3 linked regions of the Arabidopsis thaliana genome follow. The protein of the gene in region 1 purifies or fractionates together with the protein of each later gene. This does not show direct contact. Each region holds a gene or a part of one and is shown in the gene's direction. Other genes may lie near its edges.

What was found.
Region 2: the proteins of SCPL34 (region 1) and AGP30 fractionate together in Arabidopsis thaliana (co-fractionation; one large-scale study listed by BioGRID). This does not show direct contact.
Region 3: the proteins of SCPL34 (region 1) and AGP31 fractionate together in Arabidopsis thaliana (co-fractionation; one large-scale study listed by BioGRID). This does not show direct contact.

The regions. Positions count from the first base shown.
Region 1 is NC_003076.8:7,807,416-7,817,290, forward strand, and holds SCPL34 (serine carboxypeptidase-like 34), read left to right. Parts: upstream 1-3,229; 5' UTR 3,230-3,476; coding exon 3,477-3,783; intron 3,784-4,194; exon of another isoform or gene 4,195-4,209; coding exon of another isoform or gene 4,210-4,228; intron 4,229-4,577; exon of another isoform or gene 4,578-5,202; coding exon of another isoform or gene 5,203-5,224; coding exon 5,225-5,335; intron 5,336-5,431; coding exon 5,432-5,527; intron 5,528-5,617; coding exon 5,618-5,710; intron 5,711-5,821; coding exon 5,822-5,910; intron 5,911-6,005; coding exon 6,006-6,323; intron 6,324-6,406; coding exon 6,407-6,543; intron 6,544-6,877; coding exon 6,878-6,970; intron 6,971-7,057; coding exon 7,058-7,163; coding exon of another isoform or gene 7,164-7,193; exon of another isoform or gene 7,194-7,272; coding exon 7,273-7,422; 3' UTR 7,423-7,671; downstream 7,672-9,875. Other genes in the region: AT5G23200 (C5orf35), read left to right, coding at 141-235, 401-675, 774-1,573; AT5G23212 (Defensin-like (DEFL) family protein), read right to left, coding at 7,990-8,144, 9,430-9,502. UniProt on the Arabidopsis thaliana protein: Probable carboxypeptidase.
Region 2 is NC_003071.7:14,291,135-14,298,242, reverse strand, and holds AGP30 (arabinogalactan protein 30), read left to right. Parts: upstream 1-2,889; 5' UTR 2,890-3,005; coding exon 3,006-3,414; intron 3,415-4,070; coding exon 4,071-4,381; 3' UTR 4,382-4,682; downstream 4,683-7,108. Other genes in the region: AT2G33793 (DNA ligase-like protein), read right to left, coding at 828-917, 1,024-1,136; AT2G33780 (VQ motif-containing protein), read left to right, coding at 6,512-7,108. UniProt on the Arabidopsis thaliana protein: Proteoglycan required for the timing of seed germination. May function in the abscisic acid (ABA) response.
Region 3 is NC_003070.9:9,886,675-9,893,859, reverse strand, and holds AGP31 (arabinogalactan protein 31), read left to right. Parts: upstream 1-2,844; 5' UTR 2,845-3,016; coding exon 3,017-3,785; intron 3,786-4,218; coding exon 4,219-4,529; 3' UTR 4,530-4,759; downstream 4,760-7,185. Other genes in the region: AT1G28280 (VQ motif-containing protein), read left to right, coding at 6,465-7,185. UniProt on the Arabidopsis thaliana protein: Proteoglycan that may contribute to the strengthening of cell walls.

The DNA.
Region 1 (9,875 bases):
CGGATTTAGTCTTTTCGATTTGCACCAATAGAATTAAGATTAGAAGAATTGAAATTAGGCTGAAGGGGAATCGTAAAGTTTCGTTTTTTATTGATAAATTTCTAATGAAGTTGCTCATTTGATAAACTTTGCATTTGCAGGCTGTTGGAGTTCTTGCCAAGAGTACCACATTTGCTAAGAACCCAAGGCAACTGCAGTTTGAAGCAGACGTTAACAAACTCTTTATGTATACAAGGTTGGTTTTTTTTGTCTCAGAAGAATCAAAGTCTGATTTCTAATATGGATTTGTGAACCATCACACACGATAGTCTTTAGTTTAGCTCTAGTTTTTTTCCTTCTAAGTTATTAATTCTTGTATATACATCCACTATTTGTGCTCATGAAAACTTGTTGTGTTTAGCTATAACCGGTTGGGACGAGAAGCTGAGGAGACTGATGCAGAGGAGATCATTGAGATGGCTGGTAAAGCCACTTTATCTGAGCAGCAGAAGCAAGTTCAAGAGAACATTCACTACCAAGTTGAAAAATTCTGCTCTTTGATGGATGGAATCCTTCTTCCTGATGTTAGGAGGAACGAGTCGGGGTCACAATCAACAAGCCCTCGTCCTCCTCGTAGAAGTGGTCTTACTTTCGCCATTGGTAGTAATAATGCTTTTCCACATGCAGATCAGCCCCGTAAGTGTTTTACTTTACTTGAATCGATTTGTGAACTTATTACTCAGTATTTTTCTTTCAGCTTAATTAGTATTCTCACTGATTCTTCTTCAGCACAGTTGTTCCCGAGACAAAGCCTTTGAAACTCAATGACGTCTCACAGAGATTAATGGATCAAATGGGTTACACCCTCGAGACCAAACCGTCTGTAATACCTCACAAAGACGCTGGTCAAGGTTGTTTTATCAAAGGCGAGGCAGATGTTGGAACCGTCTTAGCCTTTTACCCTGGAGTTATTTACTCTCCTGCTTTCTACAAGTACATACCCGGGTACCCGAAGGTTGATTCACAGAACTCATATCTCATCACCAGGTATGATGGGACTGTAATAAATGCTCAACCTTGGGGTCTTGGGGGAGAATCAAGGGAAGCATGGAACGGGTCCTACACACCTGCGGTCAAAGCAAACACCAAAACCGCAGAAAACGGGTCAGACAGGTTATGGAAAGCGTTGAGCAAGCCTCTCGAAGGTTCGGGTAAAGGAAAAGAGGTTCTTGAGAGGAGAAATCCGTTGGCTTTTGGTCACTTAGCTAACCACCCAGCGAAAGAGATGACTCCAAACGTTATGATATGTCCTTATGACTTCCCTTTGATGGCGAAAGATCTGCGGCCTTACATTCCGAATATATCTTTTGGGGATTCTGGAGAAATAAAGATGAAAAGATTTGGAAGTTTCTGGTTTAAGACAGGGAGTAAAAACGGGTTAGAAGCTCCGGTTCTGAAGACACTGGTCTTGGTGGCAACGAGGTCGTTGTGTAATGAGGAACTTTTGCTGAATTACAGGCTGAGCAACTCTAAGAGACGACCAGATTGGTATACTCCGGTTAACGAGGAGGAAGATAGGAGAAGATGGAGCTAAATTTCTCTTTTATGTTTTAATGAAACTTGAAAGGCTCTGTTTCAAAACATGCTCCTCGGTTTTCTTTAGACTATTAGCGGGACGTCGTTTCGCTGATTGTGTCACTATTTTTGTTTTTCGATTATTTTTGGAAGACATTTTATTCTAATATTTTATGTTGTTCTGTTGTTACATACTATGGACGAAGAGCAACACACGACTCTGTGATGAAACCAGTGCTGCAACTGTAATAGGGAAATTACGTAATGCCAATGCAATTATAGAGTTCTCAATGGATGGTTGGAATGGAACAATGGTGATGATCTGTGTTGTTGAATGTGATAAATGACTTAATGATGGATTTGGTTTTGTAGTCAAAATTATTGAATTGAAGACGTTCAAAAGTTATCGGAAAATATGACTACCGAATAATTACCACAAAAGGAATAGCGAATTCAATAAAGTAGACATAAAATGCACAACTTCAACATAAACGATTATATGAAAACTATAATTGTATAATCTTATAACTCTATTATCTATAATCATTGTGAGTATATCAAATGTTGTTTAAACTCACTCTTGAACTATTTGATAACTTAAACATGTAATAATTATCTACGCAAAAAAAAGACATAGTAATTGAAAAAAAAGAGAGTAAATGTTTACATGTTTATGATCTTCGTAGAGAATCTTAGCTAGTTTCTTTTAAAACACGTTAGTCATATAATAATGCAAACAAAAAAATTTATAAATTTTTTGTTTGTAAACATTTCATATTGATCACACTGTAACATAAATGCCTCGTGACTTCTTAATGTATATAGGTATAATAGGAGAGTACATGTAGATGTAGATATACACTTCTATGACGTATATAAACAGAAACTGAATCTTTTTATTACGCAATCAAAGCCGTAACATTCTGTTTTGTTATATGACAGGTATAATTTACTTTGCACATACATCACAATTCACACATTATATTATATAAAAATATTTATGTAGATCGGTCGTTGCTAATTTCAAGGGGGAGGAACATGAAAGATTGAGAGAGAGAGAAGTAAAACAGTGTTTGGTCAAATCTCTCTTAAGAAATAATCTTATGAAATGAACCGTCACTTTCTTTGCTCTGCTCTGCTTTTTATTTGGATCCTTCTATTCCAATTCATTGACCAATCACTTCATTATCTCTAATTCTCTAACATTTTTTTTATATTATCCTTTTGATTTATATATCAAATTATTTCAATCATGATACAAAAACGATATTGGAGACATAGCACAAGTTGCGTCTGTCTGTACGTATTTTCTATTTATCTAGTATAGTCTAACAAAAAGAGAAATTGCCCATAAAAAGGGAAACTCAATTTCTAACAAACCTTTCTATTTTTATAAAGAGAATTTGCTACTATTATTACTGATATAAAAAGAAATAAAATTTCTTGCTTTCTATCATATTTGATATTTTTTGATGTCTTCGTCTTAAGGAAATGGTTACAAAGACAAGTATAATCATATAATTCAAATAGAAAACGATATTAAAGACAGATCACAAATTGCGTGTGTAGATATTTCACCAAGTGTTAACAAAAAGAGAAATTCATATAAAAAAAAATATTTATAAAACTGCAACTATTAATTTATTCAAACTAATTAAAAAGAAAGAGAAAAATCTTCCTATAAAAAGAAATGAATCTTTCTTTGTAATCAGAAAGAAATAAAATTCTTTTTACTTTTCCAGAATTTGATTTTTCTCATGTGTCTTATCTTATGAATATGGTTACCACCCAGTGAGACTACAGAGTGTTCTTATCTGTCTCTGAATCCCATTCTCTCTCTCACACAACATTATATAAGCTTACACAGTCACTTCACAATTTCCACAAATTCGATATATTAAACTATAATAAACTAAAAAGAAATGGGTTCTCATAGTGTTGAGTTCTCTGTTCTTGTCCTATTTCTTGTGTCCTTTCTTCTTGGCTCAACATCAGCAGAAAAGCTGTGCAGTGACAACGACGGCGACAACGGTTGTTTCCGGTCTAGGGTTTTGGCAGCGCAACGAGCTGATCGAGTGAAAGAGCTTCCGGGACAGCCGCCAGTGAAATTCCGGCAATACGCCGGTTATGTGACGGTTAATGAAACACATGGAAGAGCATTGTTCTATTGGTTCTTTGAAGCCACTCAGAATCCAAGCAAAAAACCTGTCCTCCTTTGGCTCAATGGAGGTAAGTTAAACTAACTCACATCCACTCATTTTTCTTCTATTACGTCTCATAGTTAAAAGATTAAAACCCACCAATAAAATAAGGTGTATCATGCTTTGTGTGCATTTCATCTACTTGATATTGATTTCGTAATAGATATTTGATCCTTGCGCAATCTTTATATTCGAATTTTGAAACTTTCATGAGTTGGGTTAGAAAAACAATTCCATTTAACAACATTACACGTAAAATAACAAAAAATTAACGTACGTATACTATATAAATAATATAATACAGCTGAAATAATTTTTAACGTGGATTAAAATAAACCATAAATAAATAGGTATGTATGTATCAGTCATTTGTATGCATGGAGACAAAAAAAGGTAACTTGGGGAGAATATTAGGTGAAGCTTCCTAATAGTAAGACGTATCTCATTTGGCACCATGTCAAAATCAATGAAACGTATGTGGTTAGTAGTTATCATCATCACCATCATGATGAGTTTTGGTTGTGATTGGTTAAACTTTAAAGTAATTTTGGAAGCTTGTAATGATTCCACATGCTTGTTAGTTGTTACATGATCCTATATATGCTAGCTTTTATTCTCTTGTAGACTCATTTGCTATATATTTAAATTTACAATCCACATATCTCAACGTTCCATCATGCTTTGCTTTTAGATGGTTTTTTCTTTTAGATGTTTATGGTTTCTTACACATTGTTAATAGAAAAATACTTTATTTTTAAGTCATTTTATTCATAAAGAGCTAAACAACGTAAAAATCCAAATTTTGATGAAAATAGTCATAAAACAATAAAATCTTTGATAGATTATTGTAAGTCTTTTTGTTCAGCATAACACGCTTGGAAAATATTTTGGTGAAAGATTAAAGATAATTAGTTTGGTGGAAGATTAACCATATGCTTATATTTTATTACATATTAATTGAATTCATATGCATGTGATGGATATTAAAATTATTACCTCCACATATTTAGGCTTTAATAGGCTCCCGTGGGCTCATTGCGCCCTTTACTTTAATATGAAGGCACAGTAATTATTGACACAAAAGTTATGCATCTATCTATTATCATCATATCAAGAAAAGTCAATTCCATGAAACTTAAACGGTCCTTCGGTCCATAATTCATTATGATTCCAAACATTACACATGGTCCATGCACGTATATGCACGCCCTAAAAGTTTTCTCAAGTTTGTTTTTATTCGTGTGTTTCTTGATAAAGGCAAGTTTATCATTATAAGCAACAAAACCCTTAAATTAAATGGACCCTATGCAATAATAGTGAATAAAAAGTAACATAATGTAGAGTCAAATTAAAGGAGTAGGCCTATATCACCTAAGTTTAAATTTGGTGGTACTTCCAAATAATGTACATAGTAAAATGTATTTAGTTATAGTATATTGAGATTTCAATGGTGAAAAATGTGAATATAGGACCGGGATGTTCATCAATCGGATTCGGAGCTGCAGAAGAACTGGGACCATTCTTCCCACAAAACTCGAGTCAGCCTAAACTCAAGCTAAATCCATACAGCTGGAACAAAGGTATGGGTATACATAACTTTCTAAATATTCAAATATTATCTCTCTTTCTATCAATAATGTAACTGAATTAATGTTTTTGAAATGTGATTTACATAGCGGCGAATTTGTTATTCTTGGAATCGCCGGTTGGAGTTGGATTCTCCTATACTAACACAAGCCGTGATATAAAACAACTCGGCGACACTGTCACAGGTTCGGTTTGTTATATATAACATTAGTTTTATTAATGAAATATTAGTTTTGTTTGTAAGTTAATAATTAAAGTTTGTGTATGATGAACAGCGAGAGACTCGTACAACTTCCTTGTCAACTGGTTCAAGAGATTTCCCCAGTACAAGTCACACGACTTCTACATTGCCGGAGAAAGCTACGCCGGTAAATTATTATTATTATAAGTTAGAAATACACGACGTCGTTTCTACATGTGATTATTACAAAACCAAAAAACAAAACATTGAATATGTATGATTTGCGTGGAATTATTAGGCCATTACGTCCCACAACTTTCGGAGCTCATCTACAAAGAAAACAAGATTGCGTCCAAGAAAGATTTCATTAATCTCAAGGGTTTAATGGTCAGAGATTTTCTTAAATCAATCCAATAATTATTAGTTTCACTTGCACTATATCTAGTGTTTTGATGAAGACTTTGAATTGTATATATATACAGATAGGAAACGCGTTATTGGATGACGAAACGGATCAAAAGGGGATGATAGAATATGCATGGGATCACGCGGTGATATCAGATGCATTGTACGAGAAAGTGAACAAAAACTGCGATTTCAAACAAAAACTTGTGACCAAGGAATGCAACGACGCTTTAGATGAGTATTTTGATGTATACAAGATCCTTGACATGTACAGTCTGTACGCTCCAAAGTGTGTCCCCACCTCCACGAACTCCTCTACTTCTCATTCAGTCGCCGGAAACCGCCCCCTACCCGCATTCCGAAGCATTCTACGACCCCGTCTCATCTCTCACAATGTAAGTAATTCGTCTTTTTAATCACTTAGAAAAAATTCTTTCGTAACCAATTTGACTAACCGGTTATAATTGATTATATACAGGAAGGATGGAGGAGGATGGCCGCCGGGTACGATCCATGTGCATCAGAGTATACAGAAAAATATATGAACAGAAAAGATGTTCAGGAGGCACTTCACGCTAATGTCACCAACATCTCTTACCCTTGGACTCATTGCAGGTATTATTACGACGTTCAATCTTATTTTCGGTTAGGTTTTCCAGATTTTGTTTTTCATGAAATATAAAAAGCACATATAGTTTGGTTTGGTCTTTTTTAGCAATATATGTTAACGTTTTAGGATTCTAAGGTATATATTGAGGAAGCAGTTTTTTTTTTCCGGTTGTTTGGTTATGGTTTGTTCGAATATAGGCAAAGGAAATTGAATCAGTTTATGAATTGTCACATGCACCTACATATTAATACTCTTACTATCATAGTTTAACCAAAAGCGTGTGTGGTAAATGATTGATAGATAGGAACTTAAACCATATGCATGGTTTACTATGTGCAGTGACACTGTCTCATTCTGGTCTGACGCTCCCGCTTCTATGCTTCCAACCTTAAGAACACTTGTTTCAGCGGGATTACGCGTATGGGTTTTCAGGTATAACACCTAATCCTTGGCATTTTTATGTAAGAATTAACTGAAAACGAGCGATAACCGTTTTAAATTGTTTGGTAAACTTAATAGTGGGGATACAGACGGGCGAATCCCCGTGACCGCAACCAGATACTCACTAAAGAAGCTAGGTCTTAAGATAGTCCAAGACTGGACACCTTGGTACACCAAACTACAGGTTAATTTGGTTCCAAGTTACAAACTTTAACTTTTCTTCCAAGTAAGTGTGTGATTGACTCTAAAGATATATATATATATATATATATTTTTCTTTCACTTGCCGTTAGGTCGGAGGGTGGACGGTGGAGTATGACGGTTTAATGTTTGTGACGGTAAGAGGAGCGGGACACCAGGTTCCGACATTTAAACCTAGAGAAGCTCTTCAGCTCATTCATCATTTTCTAGGCAATAAGAAACTTCCTACTTTTCCCTTTTGATATTTTCTCTACCCACAGATTTTATGATCTTTATATAATTCTTAAAACAATAATAAACAGATTTGAGCAAAATAGGCCATTATATTAGAATTGTACAAATGTTTTATCGCGTTTTACATGTTTTCTCGTGTTACAGTGACCTCTAAAACTCTCATCTCTTGGATAATTCTTTAACAATATATAGTCATCCAATGATCCAAACAACACAAATTTTAGCTAGGCTTACTTCTATATAAGTTGGAAGAAAATTTTAGATGTCAATAATATGATAATTATGAAAGAGATGATGATGAAATTTAGAAAATATTGTAAATTCAGTGTTACACATATTTCATATTCAACGTCAAATACATTCGCCAAATAAATGTACATGGCTCTTATATGATTCTCTCTTCTCTTTGAGTTTTCTTCATTGTTATGGGTATGACAACAAATATCATTATATTTATTTCGTTTTAAGACAAGATTATGAAAGAAAAAAAAAATTGTTAATCAATAGAATTCAGATGTATCTTTTTTTGATATAACTTTTTTAATAAGTCAATAGTAAACTAAATTTGAATAGAATCACGATAAAATACAACAACATTGAAACGAATCTCTGCCAGGTACACATATAGCATTGTTAAACGGTGGTTTGTTCACTCCACATGAGTCATAGCAATCTTCTTTCTTATGACACGGTCCTTTGAATTCACAATCTGAGGAAGCATCCATAATTCCTGTTGAATTCATCACAATTTAAAAATATTTACTTGTTAAGTTACCATCATAGATATTTTTGTTATGTATAAAATGCCTATGATTATTACATATTTATATGCATATATTTTTGTCGACAACATATATTATACTGAATTTTGATTCGGATAGTTTCGAAGTGATAACACATATACAAACATCTAGGCTCCAACCTATATGCATATATGATTGAAAAAGCGTATATTTATTAGACAAGAAACCAATACTTACGAGTGGATTGAACATTAACAAGGAAGGAAACAATAATACAAAGAGCAACAATGTGAAGTTTCATCGATGTCATCTTTCGATCTATATAATATTGATATAAGATCCTTTTTTCTACTTCACTGAATAAACTAAGAATTTTGATTGTTTTATACTGAATTTTGAAATAACATGCATATAGCCATTAAATTAAAAACATGCATATAGATCAAAATCAAAATCTATATATTAAAACATGCATATAGCCATTAAATTAAAAATATACATATATATCAAAATCAAAATCTATATATTAAAAACATGCATATAAGCCATTAAATTTTGAAATAACATGCATCTAGCCATTAAATTTTGAAATAATATGCATATAGCCATTAATAATAACTCAAAATCAAAATCTATATATTAGTTATTTTTTACTTTCAAAATTAACTCAATTTTTTTCCTAATCAATAAGAAATTGTTTATAAGATATTAAACTTTTATTTGAAAGCAGAAAAACAAATCCTCTTATAATCAATGAAGTAAGGGGTCATGAAGTAATTGTTATTTATATTGTCAATTAAAAAAGTATTAACCTCTAATCTGATTTATTTAACTATGAGACCTTTATATTAGTTAAGGTTTATCATTTCAAAACTTATATTATTAATTTAACTAAAGTAGCAAACCCTCTAAATTTCAAAACATTTTTATTTTTATAAAACATTTTTAAAATCAATTTCTAACTAATTCTATTATTTTCTGATATATCTATAGATACGATAGGCAATGAATCTTCTATGATTTAAGCACAGATAATAGTGTTTTGCTAAAAAAACGATTAAAATAACACTACAACAATTACGGTTGCAATTTGAAACAAAGCCGACAAAAGATTCATACATTTTGTTTATATATAGCACACCATAATATAACAATCGTTACTTGTTCAACTATAATGTCACTAGTCTTTTAGTTCAAAATACATATGATAATTACATATCTATATAAAGGTATTATGTAAAAATTTATATCAGCTGATAAAAAAAAACTTACGAGCGGATTGAACATTAATACAAAGAGAAACTATGATGAGGAGAGCTACAAAGTGAAGCTTTGACGATGTCATCTTTCATATACTTTTTTTTAGTCACCACAGGAACACACTAATTGTTCAATTTATAGCTAAATCTGAAACAATCTCAAAATAAAGTTACCTTTTAAATATTTTCAAAGATTTTTACTGATTAAATTACTTGACATTTTTGTATAAAATTCATATATGCGATTTGAACATAGATACCGTTCAAAGATTTACATTAATGTTCAGATATTGCTTGCCAATTTTATTGATCAAGGAAAGACGAAGTCAACAATTAAAACATGTATACGTTAATATCCGATTTACTAACCAAATGTTGTGCCAGAGCCCAGAAGTGGTATCATATAAAGATAGTCAACATTTGGTTGGTTGGTATCATATAAAAGGAATGTCAAATACC
Region 2 (7,108 bases), on another chromosome or scaffold:
CTCACAATCCTCAGATGATTCTATCTTTCTGGAACAATAAATGACAAAACCATGCTACTAGATACCAAGTAGTGATACAAATCAACCGATTGCTTCAGAGTTGAGTATCAAAATCAAAAGTCTGAACATCTAAACGTTCTGTATCTAAGAAATCAAACGAGCTTCATATCTATCAATCAACCATTTGCTTTCTAGTTTAAGGGAGACAAAGAGCAATACCAAAACCAGTTGCACAATAGATAGCTGAGTGCTTCAGAGCTGATGAACAAAAGACTGATCATTCTGTATCTATGAAACTAAACGAGCTTCATATCTATCAATCAAACATTTGCTTTATAGATTATGAAATTCAAGAGCATACCACAACCACTTTCACAACAGATCAACCAATATCAAAAAGGCTAGAACAAATGATCGAACACTTTATCTAGCTAAAACTAGTTGATATTTGGTTTGCGATACAAGATCCAGACTAATCCACATATAAAAGAGCTTGATATCTATCAATCGAACATATATATGCTTTCTAGTTTAAGCGATACATGAGCATACCATAACCAATTTCACAACAGATCAACCAATATCAAATGCTAGAACAAATGATCAAACACCTTAGCTTCATCTAGCTATATCTACTTGATAAATTGATTTGCGATACAAGATCCAGATCTAATTCATGTACCAACGATAACAATTAGAAGAAACGCTCCATCAACAAATGCACATGAGCGATCGACATGAATATCTCGATAACTGCATAGTGAATGATGAAATCGAAGTTTACATAACCTAATCAGAGAGAAACATGTAACGGAGAGATATATGACCTGGAAATGCTTTCTTCCTTCTTCTTACGGCCATCTTCGTGCGCTTTCTCTCTGAATTGCTGCAACGCCGACATGATTCCTTTGAAATCGCTACACGATCAACACGGAAACACAATCGCGAGTCACATTTCAGCAAAAAAACAGAAGAAACGAAGAAAAAGAAGAAGACGAAGCAAAAGAAAACACGAGAACGGACCTAGAAACATCGACATCCAATTCGTCCGGGAGTTTTGCTTTCGGTGTTGGCTTCTTGAGCGATTGCGGCGGCTCTGGCCGAGTTCTCTTAGTGCCTCTTCTGGTAGACGACATTGCAGACGAAACTTAGAGAGTGTGAGATTCGATGAAGCGAAATCAATAGCTCTGGCGAGTGGCGATTATCTGCTCTCTCTCGCTCGTGTGATTTGGATTTGAATTTGAATTTTGAAATTCTGTTTGTTTGTTAGAAGACTTCACACTTCACAATAATATATAGCCCACTTACGTATTGTGGATGCCGTCGTAGCTGATCACGTACTCTCACTATTTTCGTTTTCTTTTTTGATTTTTTTTTCTTCTTTAAGTTATGGCTAACATAATTACTATTATAAAAATAAAAAATTATTCTATGCATATAATTCTTCAAATTGTGGGTAACAAAAGTCACTGTTACTTCTATTTACATCAATTTTTAACCCAAATGAAATATGAGACTTGATACATCATGGGCCTCTATTTTTTTGTCAAAACATCATTGGGCCTCATGGCTTAAAAATGCGTATGAAAACTTCCTTCAACTCAAACCCAAATTAACTCAAATTATTGCATGTCGATCTCATTGTTATCTTGAGATTGATCATTGAAGTATAGAAAGTTAGAAACTTTCACCCCTAGGCCTAGTTTATGGTTTACTCTAGCGTATATCTGTCTTACCTCTTCTCTCAAAGCTTAAGGCCATTGTGTTTACGTTTATGTATATCTTCACGCTTTATTTTTATTTTTTTGGTTTAGGTTAATACCAATCCTAAAAACTAAATACATATCACCGTACCATTTAACGTTTTATCAAAGTTCTGTGGTTCAACACTCTAAATATTACATGTGACGCTATACCATACGTTTGCGAAGCTTGGAATTTTTCAAAAAGTATTTGATCTCACATAGCTTTATTCAGAACCTCCAAAAGAATTGCACTTATAATCTCCAAGGCATTGTATAGTTTAGGAAATGAAATCTTATGCATGACGTGAAACGATGAAAGTATAAATCTTTTTTGTAAAACACTAGACCAAAAGAGTTTCCACTATTAATTAACATCAATTTTTAATAGTTATTTTCCTGATTTAAGAATAATTACACGGGCATTGTTTTACCAGTTTCATTAAAATCTAGTTGACTTTTTAACGTATTTTATCTTATCCTGATCTAAGAATAATTTTATAGGCACCGTTTTGCTAATTTAATCAAATTGGAAACCCAAATAAATAGAAACAGAAGTGTGGATATTAATTGAACTTTTAAATGTGTTGTAATGTGTTGAAGCCGCACCAGGCGCATCTTGTTGCCATGCCCATGTTAAGGACCACAAAACATGGAACATGAATGAAAACTCATGCACTAATACTATCTATATCCCAGATATTTGCATTGAAAGTTACACTGTAAATTTACATATTGTCCAATAGAATTTGTAAAATTATATCTATATTTTTTTTTACTAACTCTCATTAAATTCACAAACTATAAGAAATTCACATATACATGACTATAATTTTCTCATAAAACTTTCAAATCATAACATTAATTTGTTGAATATTAACATATATATGACTAAACACTGTATTGAATTCAGCTGTGATGCATTCGTTAATTATTATCTTTTCATCAGAAAAAATAAACTTCAGGTAGGTTGACGAAGTTTTCATTTATTCTATTAAAAAAACCCGGGAAGTGACTGTACTACAAATCAATATCGAGTTTCTTGCTTCAAGTATTCAAACCTGTTAGGAGATCTAAATCTAAATCTTTAACGGGACTACATCGATCGGAAACTTCTCGCCAGTTGTGTACATGTGCTGTGTATGCCTCTACTCTCTAGTATCTATATGAAGTATAAAAAATTGTAGCCCGATATCTCCTATAAATACACCCAAGTCACATCAACCCAAAGTCACACACACAAAGAAAAACAAAAGAACAAAGATGGGAATCATTGGTAAGAGTGTTTCTCTAACTCTCTTTGCACTTTTGTGCTTCACTTCCTCTGTTTTCACCTTAGGAGTGAATCAACCTGGTTCATCAGATCCCTTCCATAGCCTTCCCCAACACCTTCCCCTACCTCCAATCAAACTACCAACTCTTCCACCGGCCAAAGCTCCCATCAAACTACCAGCCTACCCACCAGCCAAAGCTCCGATCAAGCTACCAACTCTCCCACCAGCCAAAGCTCCGATTAAGTTACCAACTCTCCCACCGATCAAACCTCCTGTTCTCCCACCAGTTTACCCTCCTAAGTACAACAAGACCCTAGTGGCAGTTAGAGGTGTGGTCTACTGCAAAGCTTGCAAGTACGCGGGCGTCAACAACGTCCAAGGCGCTAAACCCGTTAAAGGTACTCACTTATATACATTCATGATATGAAAGTCTATATATTATCCTAAAAATCACTCGAACCCTTAATATACGCACCTGTGGACCGTGGTATGTCCGTATGTGAAAAGTCCACACTTCAATCCCATGCATTCATACTTTTTTTTTGCTAAAGGTATGCTGCATGCATACTTCATCCTTTACATTTATTTTAGGCATATGTTATATGTATCATAATCTCATTGTCGGTTGTTCAAAACTTTTTGTGTAAACTTTTAACTATATGCTACCAAGCGAGATTAGTTCAGAGCCGGTCGTATCATTCTGGTCCCTTCACGAATTGATAAACATAAAATATACCATGGAAAACTAAGTAACTTCTTTCAATGCTTTTGAATTTAATTTAATTATAATCAATAGGTTTTTGGTTAAGACAATCTACTGTAGCGAAGCCTTGTCATTGTTTTCCCCAAGTTTCCTATAATACCAAATTTAGCTCAACTAGTAAGAAAATCTTGTTCAAGTCATGCCCCTTCTTAAAAAAAGAGGGTAAATTTACCATAACTAATCTAAACAAATACATGCTCTTGCATTATTTTAAAACAATTTCTGTATAACAAATCTATCCAAGTACTATATTTTCACTTTTTATTTCGTTTGTGTTATCTGGGGATACAGATGCGGTGGTGAGACTTGTGTGCAAGAACAAGAAGAACTCAATATCGGAGACAAAGACGGACAAGAACGGATACTTCATGCTCCTGGCCCCTAAGACGGTGACCAACTACGATATCAAAGGTTGTCGAGCTTTCCTCGTGAAGTCTCCAGACACCAAGTGCAGCAAAGTGTCGTCACTCCACGATGGAGGCAAGGGCTCCGTTCTAAAGCCGGTCTTGAAACCAGGATTTTCCTCGACCATCATGAGATGGTTCAAGTACAGTGTGTACAACGTTGGTCCATTCGCATTCGAACCTACCTGCCCCAAATGAGATGGTGTTATAAGAGCTACTTAAACTTTTATTAATCAATGATTGTGTTGAATATGTATCAGCTTGGTTTCTTTGTATGGGCTTTTCTGGTAGTGTTAATCTTTCTAATTTGCTTCTTAAATAAAAAGTGGTGACGTTTACATATTAGGTTTTTCTTGTTAATTCCTTATCTTCGTGACCCCAAAAGAAAAAAGAAAAAAATAGTTTGCTAAATAAAAGAGACTCTGAATATGTTATGTGGATGTTAATGAACACAACCGTTGATATATTAGCCTATATATTAATTCATTAGGAATCGAAATGACCAAATTTATCTCCAACACCATCATATCAGAACAAGTATTGACAAGTGTTGAGCAACTAGTACAATAATTTTCTTTCATAATTATACTGTACATTTGTTCATTTTGTACGAAACCTCTGATGCCATATATAAAAATGTTATCTATGATTTCGACCTACGAGTACGAACAGTCATCTTTGTACGTAAGTTTGTCATTATTGTATAATTGATTTTAGGAAAAAACTTTCTGTAAGATCAGTTAAAATTTAGTAGATCTCCTATCATTTATCATCATTATATATCTTCAATTGAAAGATGAATCAAAATTAATTAGGCAACTTGGCAAAATATATAAAGTTTATTGACTTTGTTAAACTTACATAATCTATATATTTTTGACAACACATATATCTTTTGGCAAAAACATGGTAAATAGATGGGTTGGTATAACTTAATAACACTTTACAATCGTTCAAAATCACCCAATAACAAATTACTTACCCAAGACTTCATTCCATAATAAGATCTCATTGGATTAACTTGTTCCTACATATTTATATTTTTAGTTGCACTCTGAAAAATGGTCTAGCTAGTTCATGTGTTATAGACGATGTATTGTACTACTATGATAATCACATGAATTGTATAAGAGCGTATGACCCGAAAGAGAGGATTTGGGAAGTGGTGAACGGTGTGGAATTAAAACTACGTTTGGACGGTCCACGATCATTCACAACAAGTTATGGTAGAAAATTAGTTGTGTTTTTGCATAAAATAGAGAAAATGAGCGAGACAACAGAAATTTGGTGTGCAGAGATTGCCCTCGAAAGGCGCGAAGGAGGAGAAATATGGGGAAAGGTCGAGTGGTATGATCTTGTGCTTGATGGAACATCTTGCATTATGAAATGTCTAGCTGTTAAAAATTTGATGTTTCAACCATGTAATGGTGGTCATTATCGTCTTGTCGTTCTATGGTTAATAATGATTGATTTTGATATCAATAAACATCTTCTTTTATGGTTAGAGATTAGCTTGGGTACCTTCTATCATTAAAAGAAAAAGAAATATTTTGATGTTTAGCTTTGTTTAGTGCTTCAAAACTTCTCTAGTTTCTTCATAATTACTCCGTGAACGATACACAAAACACAATGAGTTTGGAAAGAAAAGTTTTTAATAAGCTAAATGCCTAAATCCAACACAGATGACTCATATTTGAATTTTTGTGTAATAACTAATAACGCACATTTATCATATTTTGAATTATGGGAAGTTTTTGAATGTATCTGCAGTATTATCTTCACAAAGATTTTGTGGTCAAAAACAAGATTTTGTGAAATCAATGTGTTGACTAATAATGTATTGACTAATATAATCCCATATCTATGGTTAGATACTCTTTTGAAAATTTTGAGAAGGTAAATGCGTTGACTAAAAATATGTTGACTAATAATCTCATTACTATGAAAATCACAAGTCAACAGGTCCACACACCAACAAACGTTGGCAGTTCCTAACTCTGACAGTGGCGCGTGACATGAGATTACAATTCTACAAATAGCTAGTCATATTTACCCTAATGGGAAGGTCAATATGTATGTACCACTTGTACATTTCTCACCAAGCCAATCCAAAAGAACAAATTTCTTTCCAAATAATAAAATTAAATATATGCAAAATCTAAATAAAAGAGTTATACTATTTTATGCCAAAAAAATTAATTAACTTTCTTACCATAAACACGTTCATATAATGTTGAACTAAATTTTTTTTTTCTGATCTTATATAACAAGAGATTATATTGCTTGTAAAACATAAATATACATCCATTGAACTTCTCTTCTCAATCAATGGAGAAATCACCAAGATACAGAGATAAAGCAAAGAACTTGCTTCCTTCACCAAGCAGCTGCACCACTACACCGACCAGATACGTTAAAGACGACATGTATGAAACCACTTTCATCCGAACCGATCCTTCTTCCTTCAAGCAAGTCGTCCAACTGCTCACCGGAATCCCCAAGAACCCGACCCACCAACCCGACCCGAGATTTCCTCCTTTTCACTCAATCCCTCCGATCAAAGCCGTGACCAACAAGAAACAATCTTCGTCCTTCCGACTCTCCGAACGTCGCAACTCGATGAAGCATTATCTCAACATCAACCCGACCCATTCCGGGCCACCCGAGATTCTCACTCCCACCATCTTGAATTTTCCGGCTCTCGATCTCAGCCCTGACACTCCTCTCATGTCTGATCCGTTTTATCGACCGGGGTCTTTTAGTCAGAGCCCTAGTGATTCGAAACCGAGCTTCGATGATGACCAAGAAAGATCGATCAAGGAGAAAGGGTTTTATTTGCGCCCGTCACCGTCGACAACTCCGAGGGATACGGAGCCTCGACTTCTCTCTCTCTTTCCGATGACTCCGATTCACTCGCCGGCGCCT
Region 3 (7,185 bases), on another chromosome or scaffold:
GTTGGTAAATAACGCATATATGAATATGAAAATTGGCAATTAAAAAACTTATACTTAGAAAAGTATATAGATATAAGCCAATAATACAATCAATCACTAATGAAATTTCAATCAATCACTAATGAACTACCATGTATTAACGACTTGGAACGAATTTTCAAAATGTAAAATTTTCTCTTCGCACAGCACAAACAAGTTATCTAATAAAGTACTGTATATCATTAGCCCAGATATATGAAGGCAGATCTTGGGCCAAAACTTGTATATATAAAGGTAGCATAATATCACCAGAATTAAATCCAAACATTTCACCAAAGTAGTATAAAGACAATTGGTCATGATTAGTTTTAAGAGATTGTTGGGACTTCTTTTTGTTGATGTGAAGATCCCACAACTATATCGGACACTAACAAACCTAACCGTTCATATGGACGTGGGAACAAGAACATGAATTAAATAGGATAAGATGAATAATATAATTAAAACTTAAAAACTGTTACTAAAGGGTACTTGTATATTTCATATATGTATTTGTTTGTCTAAGAGTTTATTTCTTAATTATATTTATTTTCGTTTTATTCATAATAAATCGAATAACGGCAAAAATGTTTACACGTACAATTTATAATCTTAAGAGATTGGGGAAACAAATCACCAATAAATTTGCAACAATGATATTATCCTATAATTATAGACTAATGAAAATTTATATATACACAAAAATGTAAGGGCAAAGACTACCACGAAAGTAGCCATATTTCTTGGAGGGAAATGTGGTAAGTTCACGATGCATACTTTTTTGGGCGTATTTATTATTTTTATTAAATTCAGTAAAACGTAAAAGCAAAGAGAATCATTCCAACGACAAGAATGATTAGTCTACTATGTAAATGTAATGATACATCATCGCGTTATCGGATTTAAACATTTAAACAATTATGGCCCATAATTGTGTTATATCTCTAGTGAGACGTTTAGACCAAAGCATCCAAAGATAGGTTTTATTTGAAGAATAAAAAATTGATAGGGTGGGTGGGTCCAATATTGGGTCCATCATTTTTTTTCCATACTTTTGCAGGTAACACGAAAATGTAACATGACATGTCTCTCTCCGGACAAAAACATTTCTCCCACAACTGTAATAATTTAAGTTACCAGTTCGTGAATATTACTGATCATTGTAGAAATGGTGGGGTAAGACCTACTCGTGAATCGATTTAGAAGTTTTAAAATTAATCTTTACACAGAAAAAAACAAAAAAAACATTCAGACAAACAACAGGAAAAATATCTAAGCGTAATTTGTTTAACTATTTGAAGAACAGTAATCTCAATAATGATGGATTCAAATTTGAATATATTTGGCTTGTTAAGAGATGAGTAATTTTTGTATTATAGAGTTGTCTTATGTATTTAGTATGTTATCAGCAGCTGACTTGTGTAAGAATATTAGACTTACGTGACCAAACTTTAATGTATTATGTTACTTGTTTTTAGCAAAAAAAAACATTAAATCGTATTATGAAAATAAATGTTCTAAAGCAATTGAGCGACATGTGCTATTCAATGCAGCAATTACGCTCAAAGTCTCCCGAAGATCTCATTCAGTGATCTATTATAAGAAAATAGTGAAAAAAACACATCAGATTTACATAAATGTGGTTCCATTAATCACAATGTATCAAATGAAAGTTTTGTTTGCTCTTCATATAAGTAATGGCAAAGTCACTTCGACTCTCTACTTAGTATATAGAAAATAATTGAATACTACATGTTTAGTAGGACAATTGTTGAAATACTTTTATAGAATGGTAGCTTAACCTGTGTCACAAATGCCAATCAAAATGTTATACATACTACTTTCAAAACAAAATTGTTTGACATAATCCAAAAAAAATTCAATCAATTATGCAAACCAGATTTGGTAATTTATAACTTCGGATTACAATCAACATCGATAGTATACAATCACGAATCAGATGCCTGACTACTATATCAAAGTTTTTTACTATCTCATATGTGAATTATGGTACTAAATTCCTTTAAAAAAAATTAATGCCTGTTATTACCATCACTTATGATTTTTCTAAATACATAGATAAAAATTATCAAAAACTTTTGCATGTTAGCTTGGATTTCAAAACAAAATTGCTTTCTTTGATATAATGTCAAAACAAAAAGTTCACAAAACAAATTATAATGACAATTCAAATTCAACATTACTATTACTCATGCTATAAAACAATTTCCTAAATTTTATAGTATCCCAATATCTTACTTTTGTTAAAGTATTTACTAATGTTCACTTTATATGGATCACCAGTGATAATAGTAAAGTTATTGTGTGTGACTATATATCTTTTTTTTTTTTTTGTGACTATATTATTCAACAAATTGTTTTTTTTTTTTGATAAAAATACACCAACTTGACATATCTTAGACGATCTAAACACACATCAACTAATTAATAGGCGATCTAAATCTTACTTATATTAAATCTAATTTTATTATCATAAAAAAAAAAGATCTTACACTTATTAGTCCTTTTTTATATATTTTAGACGACAAATGTTTACTAGATGGGTAAAGATTTTTTTTTTGGTAAAATTGGGTTAAGATCTTTTTAACATTGGTTCACCAGGGATGTGACTTTTGTTTGGTCGTAATAGTAGAAAATTTGCATATCACATTTTTTCAGATGTGTAGGAAACAATGACCATTTTAATGTTGTTGGATAACTAAAGTTTTCCATCTTGAATATCTATCAGAAGAAAAAAAGAGTAACAAAAAAAAGAGAGTAACAAAATGGTACTAGTGACTTTTTTTTTTTTTTTTTTTTTGGGCACAAAATGGTACTAGTAACTAATAATGGGGTAATTCATGTCGATCGATTTTGATTTACTATTTACAAATAAAAGGGAGTAATTTCATGACACTCGAAGCGTGAACCTTCCACCTATATATACACCCATTTCATAATCTCAAAACATATCACTAACCCAAAAACAAAACAAAAAATGGGTTTCATTGGTAAGAGTGTATTAGTGAGTCTCGTAGCACTTTGGTGCTTCACTTCCTCTGTCTTCACTGAAGAAGTGAACCATAAGACTCAAACCCCTTCTCTAGCTCCTGCTCCTGCTCCTTACCACCACGGCCACCACCACCCACACCCTCCTCATCACCACCACCCTCACCCTCACCCTCACCCCCACCCACCGGCCAAATCTCCTGTTAAACCCCCGGTTAAGGCACCAGTGTCTCCACCAGCCAAACCTCCGGTTAAGCCCCCGGTTTACCCACCCACCAAAGCCCCGGTGAAACCCCCAACTAAACCCCCGGTCAAGCCACCTGTTTCCCCACCAGCCAAACCTCCGGTTAAGCCACCAGTTTACCCTCCAACCAAAGCTCCAGTTAAGCCCCCAACTAAACCCCCAGTCAAGCCACCAGTTTACCCTCCAACCAAAGCCCCGGTTAAGCCCCCAACTAAACCCCCAGTCAAGCCACCAGTTTACCCTCCAACCAAAGCCCCGGTTAAGCCCCCAACTAAACCCCCGGTCAAGCCACCAGTTTCCCCACCAGCCAAACCTCCAGTTAAGCCCCCGGTTTACCCTCCTACCAAAGCTCCGGTTAAGCCTCCGGTTTCTCCTCCGACGAAGCCACCTGTTACACCGCCGGTTTACCCGCCTAAGTTCAACCGTAGTCTAGTCGCCGTTCGGGGTACGGTTTACTGCAAAAGCTGCAAGTACGCTGCTTTCAACACACTCTTAGGCGCTAAACCCATCGAAGGTTTGAACTATTTTCTTTGTTAATTACTACTATTTCTTCCACTTCATTATTCAGTTTATTCACTCATACATGAGACATACCTCAGTAACAATCTCTCAAACAACTCAACTTGGCTCTGCATACGCATTCAAACAGTGTATATATCTATAAAATAATACGTACTTCATATCTTAATCATGACGCATATTTCAGAAAATAATTCAAATTTGAAAACGTTACAAGTGGGACCTTTGTTACGTAAGTAGTCAATGTTTCGAAAATAGGTGTGAAATAAAGAGAGTGACTATGTACACTTCTGCACTCATCAGTCACTGTTTTTTACAGTCTGGCCAATAAATTTCACTACTTCCCACAAAAATAATTAAAAACACATAACTATATCCTTTTATTCTATAAACATATCGGACTAATATTTTTTTATGGGTTTGTGCAGGTGCTACGGTGAAACTAGTGTGTAAGAGCAAGAAGAACATAACAGCGGAGACGACGACAGACAAGAACGGATACTTCTTGTTGTTGGCTCCTAAGACGGTGACGAACTTCGGTTTCAGAGGATGTCGTGTGTATTTGGTGAAATCAAAGGACTACAAATGCAGCAAAGTCTCAAAGCTCTTCGGTGGAGATGTCGGCGCTGAACTTAAGCCTGAGAAAAAGCTGGGAAAATCTACGGTGGTCGTCAACAAGCTCGTATACGGTCTCTTTAACGTTGGTCCATTTGCCTTTAACCCGTCTTGCCCCAAATGAAGATGATTTGATGCTCTGGTTACTATCTTGATTGTTTCATGTTTAAAAAGATTGAGAGAGAGTGTTGTTATGCGTCTACTGTACGGTTGAATTTTAATCAATGTTAGCTAGTCTTTAAGTTAAATGCTTGGGTATTATGTTGTATCTCTTTAAGTGACGTCGTTTGAGTTTCGTTTGAATAAAAATAGCAGCTTTCAAGATGATTCCATTACATTACAAAACGAATGAGCAAAATGAATGTTAACTATAGAATCTTACAATTAGAATGTGTAACTAAATGAATAACTTGAATATTATTTTCTTTCTCAACTTGTATATCTTTTTTGTTTGATCAAATAAAAATGATAAAAATAGTTACGCTGCAGACAAAAAAAAAAATGATTACAAAGAAGGGTGAAAAGCTCGATGGGAAGGGGGACTCATCGAATAGGGTTTCTAGTCTGTTCTTGAATACGGAGAAAAATCAGCTGCGTAATTGTCGGCCACGGGGCTGACATTATTTCCCATCACAATCTCAAAGTTACAAAGGACAAATAATAATTCAAGATATTAATAAAAAACAGTTTTAACAAAAAGTGTTAAACAAGATTCAAGAAGAGTTTATGGGTTGTGGCGGGACGATTAAGCGATTGTACATTTAAAAAAAAAAAAATATTTTATAGGGTGTCATGGATCAAGATTCTCCTTAGCTCATAAAGCTTCTCACGTGCTCTCTTAAAAATGTTAACCGGGTTGTTATGCATTGGTTAATTAGGCCTCTACATTTCGGGTCAATAGAAAAAGTATGTTGTACACACTCACTTGGCGTAAACTAGTAACAGTATCATGATTGATTTTTTTTACAACTTCTCCTTGTCACTATAATTCAGTTTTTTATGAAGCAAAGAAGAATTTAGTCGCATTGAGAAGAAGCTAATTTGATGAAAGTGTTGATCACCTGTTTAATTATCGAAATTGTATATTGCGGTGTGAATCTTTTCTAACTTCACTCTTATTTTCTTCTTTGAACAGACACGAGATCAAATATCTATCCATGAGAGATTCATAAGGTTTGATCATTTCTAGTATTGACTATTTGGATAAAAGCATTTCACCAAAAATCGTAAGAGTGAAAAGGAAGAAGGTTTTGAATCTCAAGCCTAAATTCTAGCATCAAAATTCAAACATCTAACGTATTGAATAATGAATATGTCATCGATACTCCATAGTTTGATAACACCAATGTGAAAATATAAACTATATATAATACATGGCCCAAATAAATGAACACTAACTGGGCTCGGTTTCTTAACCCACACCGAACCCGTTTGGCAACAAGTAAAGCAACAACCTAAGTACACATAGATTTTCAATAAATATAAGGCCCAAAAAACTATTAAAGCCCAACATCTCTCCACATATGTTAAGTTCACTTAGTCAAACGACTAAAACCCAATGATTAGATTACTTCCAAGATAAGCATTTCTTGGTTGAATATATATATCACGACGACACGTAGATAAATCAACTTACCATAACATTCATTTCGAGTTATATTAATTCTATTGACCAAAAGGTCACATAAACGTCCTAGTCATCTAAACCATCATTGCTTATTGAGTTCAACATTTTCCTCTCATGATATTCAATGTTCTTTGGGTAAATTATCTCTACCTCTATCATTTATTGCCAAGACTAAAACCAAATAGAGCACATTTTTCCTCCCACTTTCAACGACGGCGCGTGACACGCACTCTCTAAATCAGCGCGTGAGCAAAGACCTAAAGAAACTAGAAAAAAGACTAAAGAGCCAATAGCGCCCACCGAAAACATTTTCTTACCGAACCAAAACACAAAGCTTATTAAACTCAAAAACAAAACACAGTTTCTCTCTCTCTCTCTCTCTCTCTCTCTCTCTCTCTCTCTCTCTCTCTCTAAAAGCTCTCTTCTCTTACAATGGAGAATTCACCGAGATACAGAGAAGCGACGAATCTGATTCCGTCGCCGAGATGTCACAACAGCAACAACAGTTGCGGTATGAGCAGTAGCAGTGAAAGTAACAAACCACCAACAACTCCGACCCGACACGTAACCACAAGATCCGAATCCGGTAACCCGTACCCGACAACATTCGTCCAAGCAGATACTTCTTCCTTCAAACAAGTCGTCCAGATGCTAACCGGATCCGCCGAGAGACCCAAACACGGTTCATCTCTCAAACCAAACCCGACCCATCATCAACCCGACCCAAGATCCACTCCTTCTTCTTTCTCAATCCCACCAATCAAAGCCGTACCTAACAAGAAACAGTCTTCTTCTTCAGCATCAGGGTTTCGTCTCTACGAGCGTCGTAATTCAATGAAGAATCTCAAAATCAATCCTTTAAACCCGGTTTTTAACCCGGTTAATTCAGCTTTCTCTCCCCGTAAACCGGAGATCCTCTCTCCAAGCATCTTAGATTTCCCATCTCTCGTTCTCAGCCCGGTTACGCCTCTTATACCCGACCCGTTTGATCGATCCGGGTCATCAAACCAAAGCCCCAACGAGCTTGCTGCGGAGGAGAAAGCAATGAAAGAGAGAGGCTTTTATTTGCATCCATCTCCGGCAACAACTCCGATGGATCCAGAGCCTCGACTTCTTCCTCTATTCCCGGTGACTTCTCCTAGAGTCTCAGGTT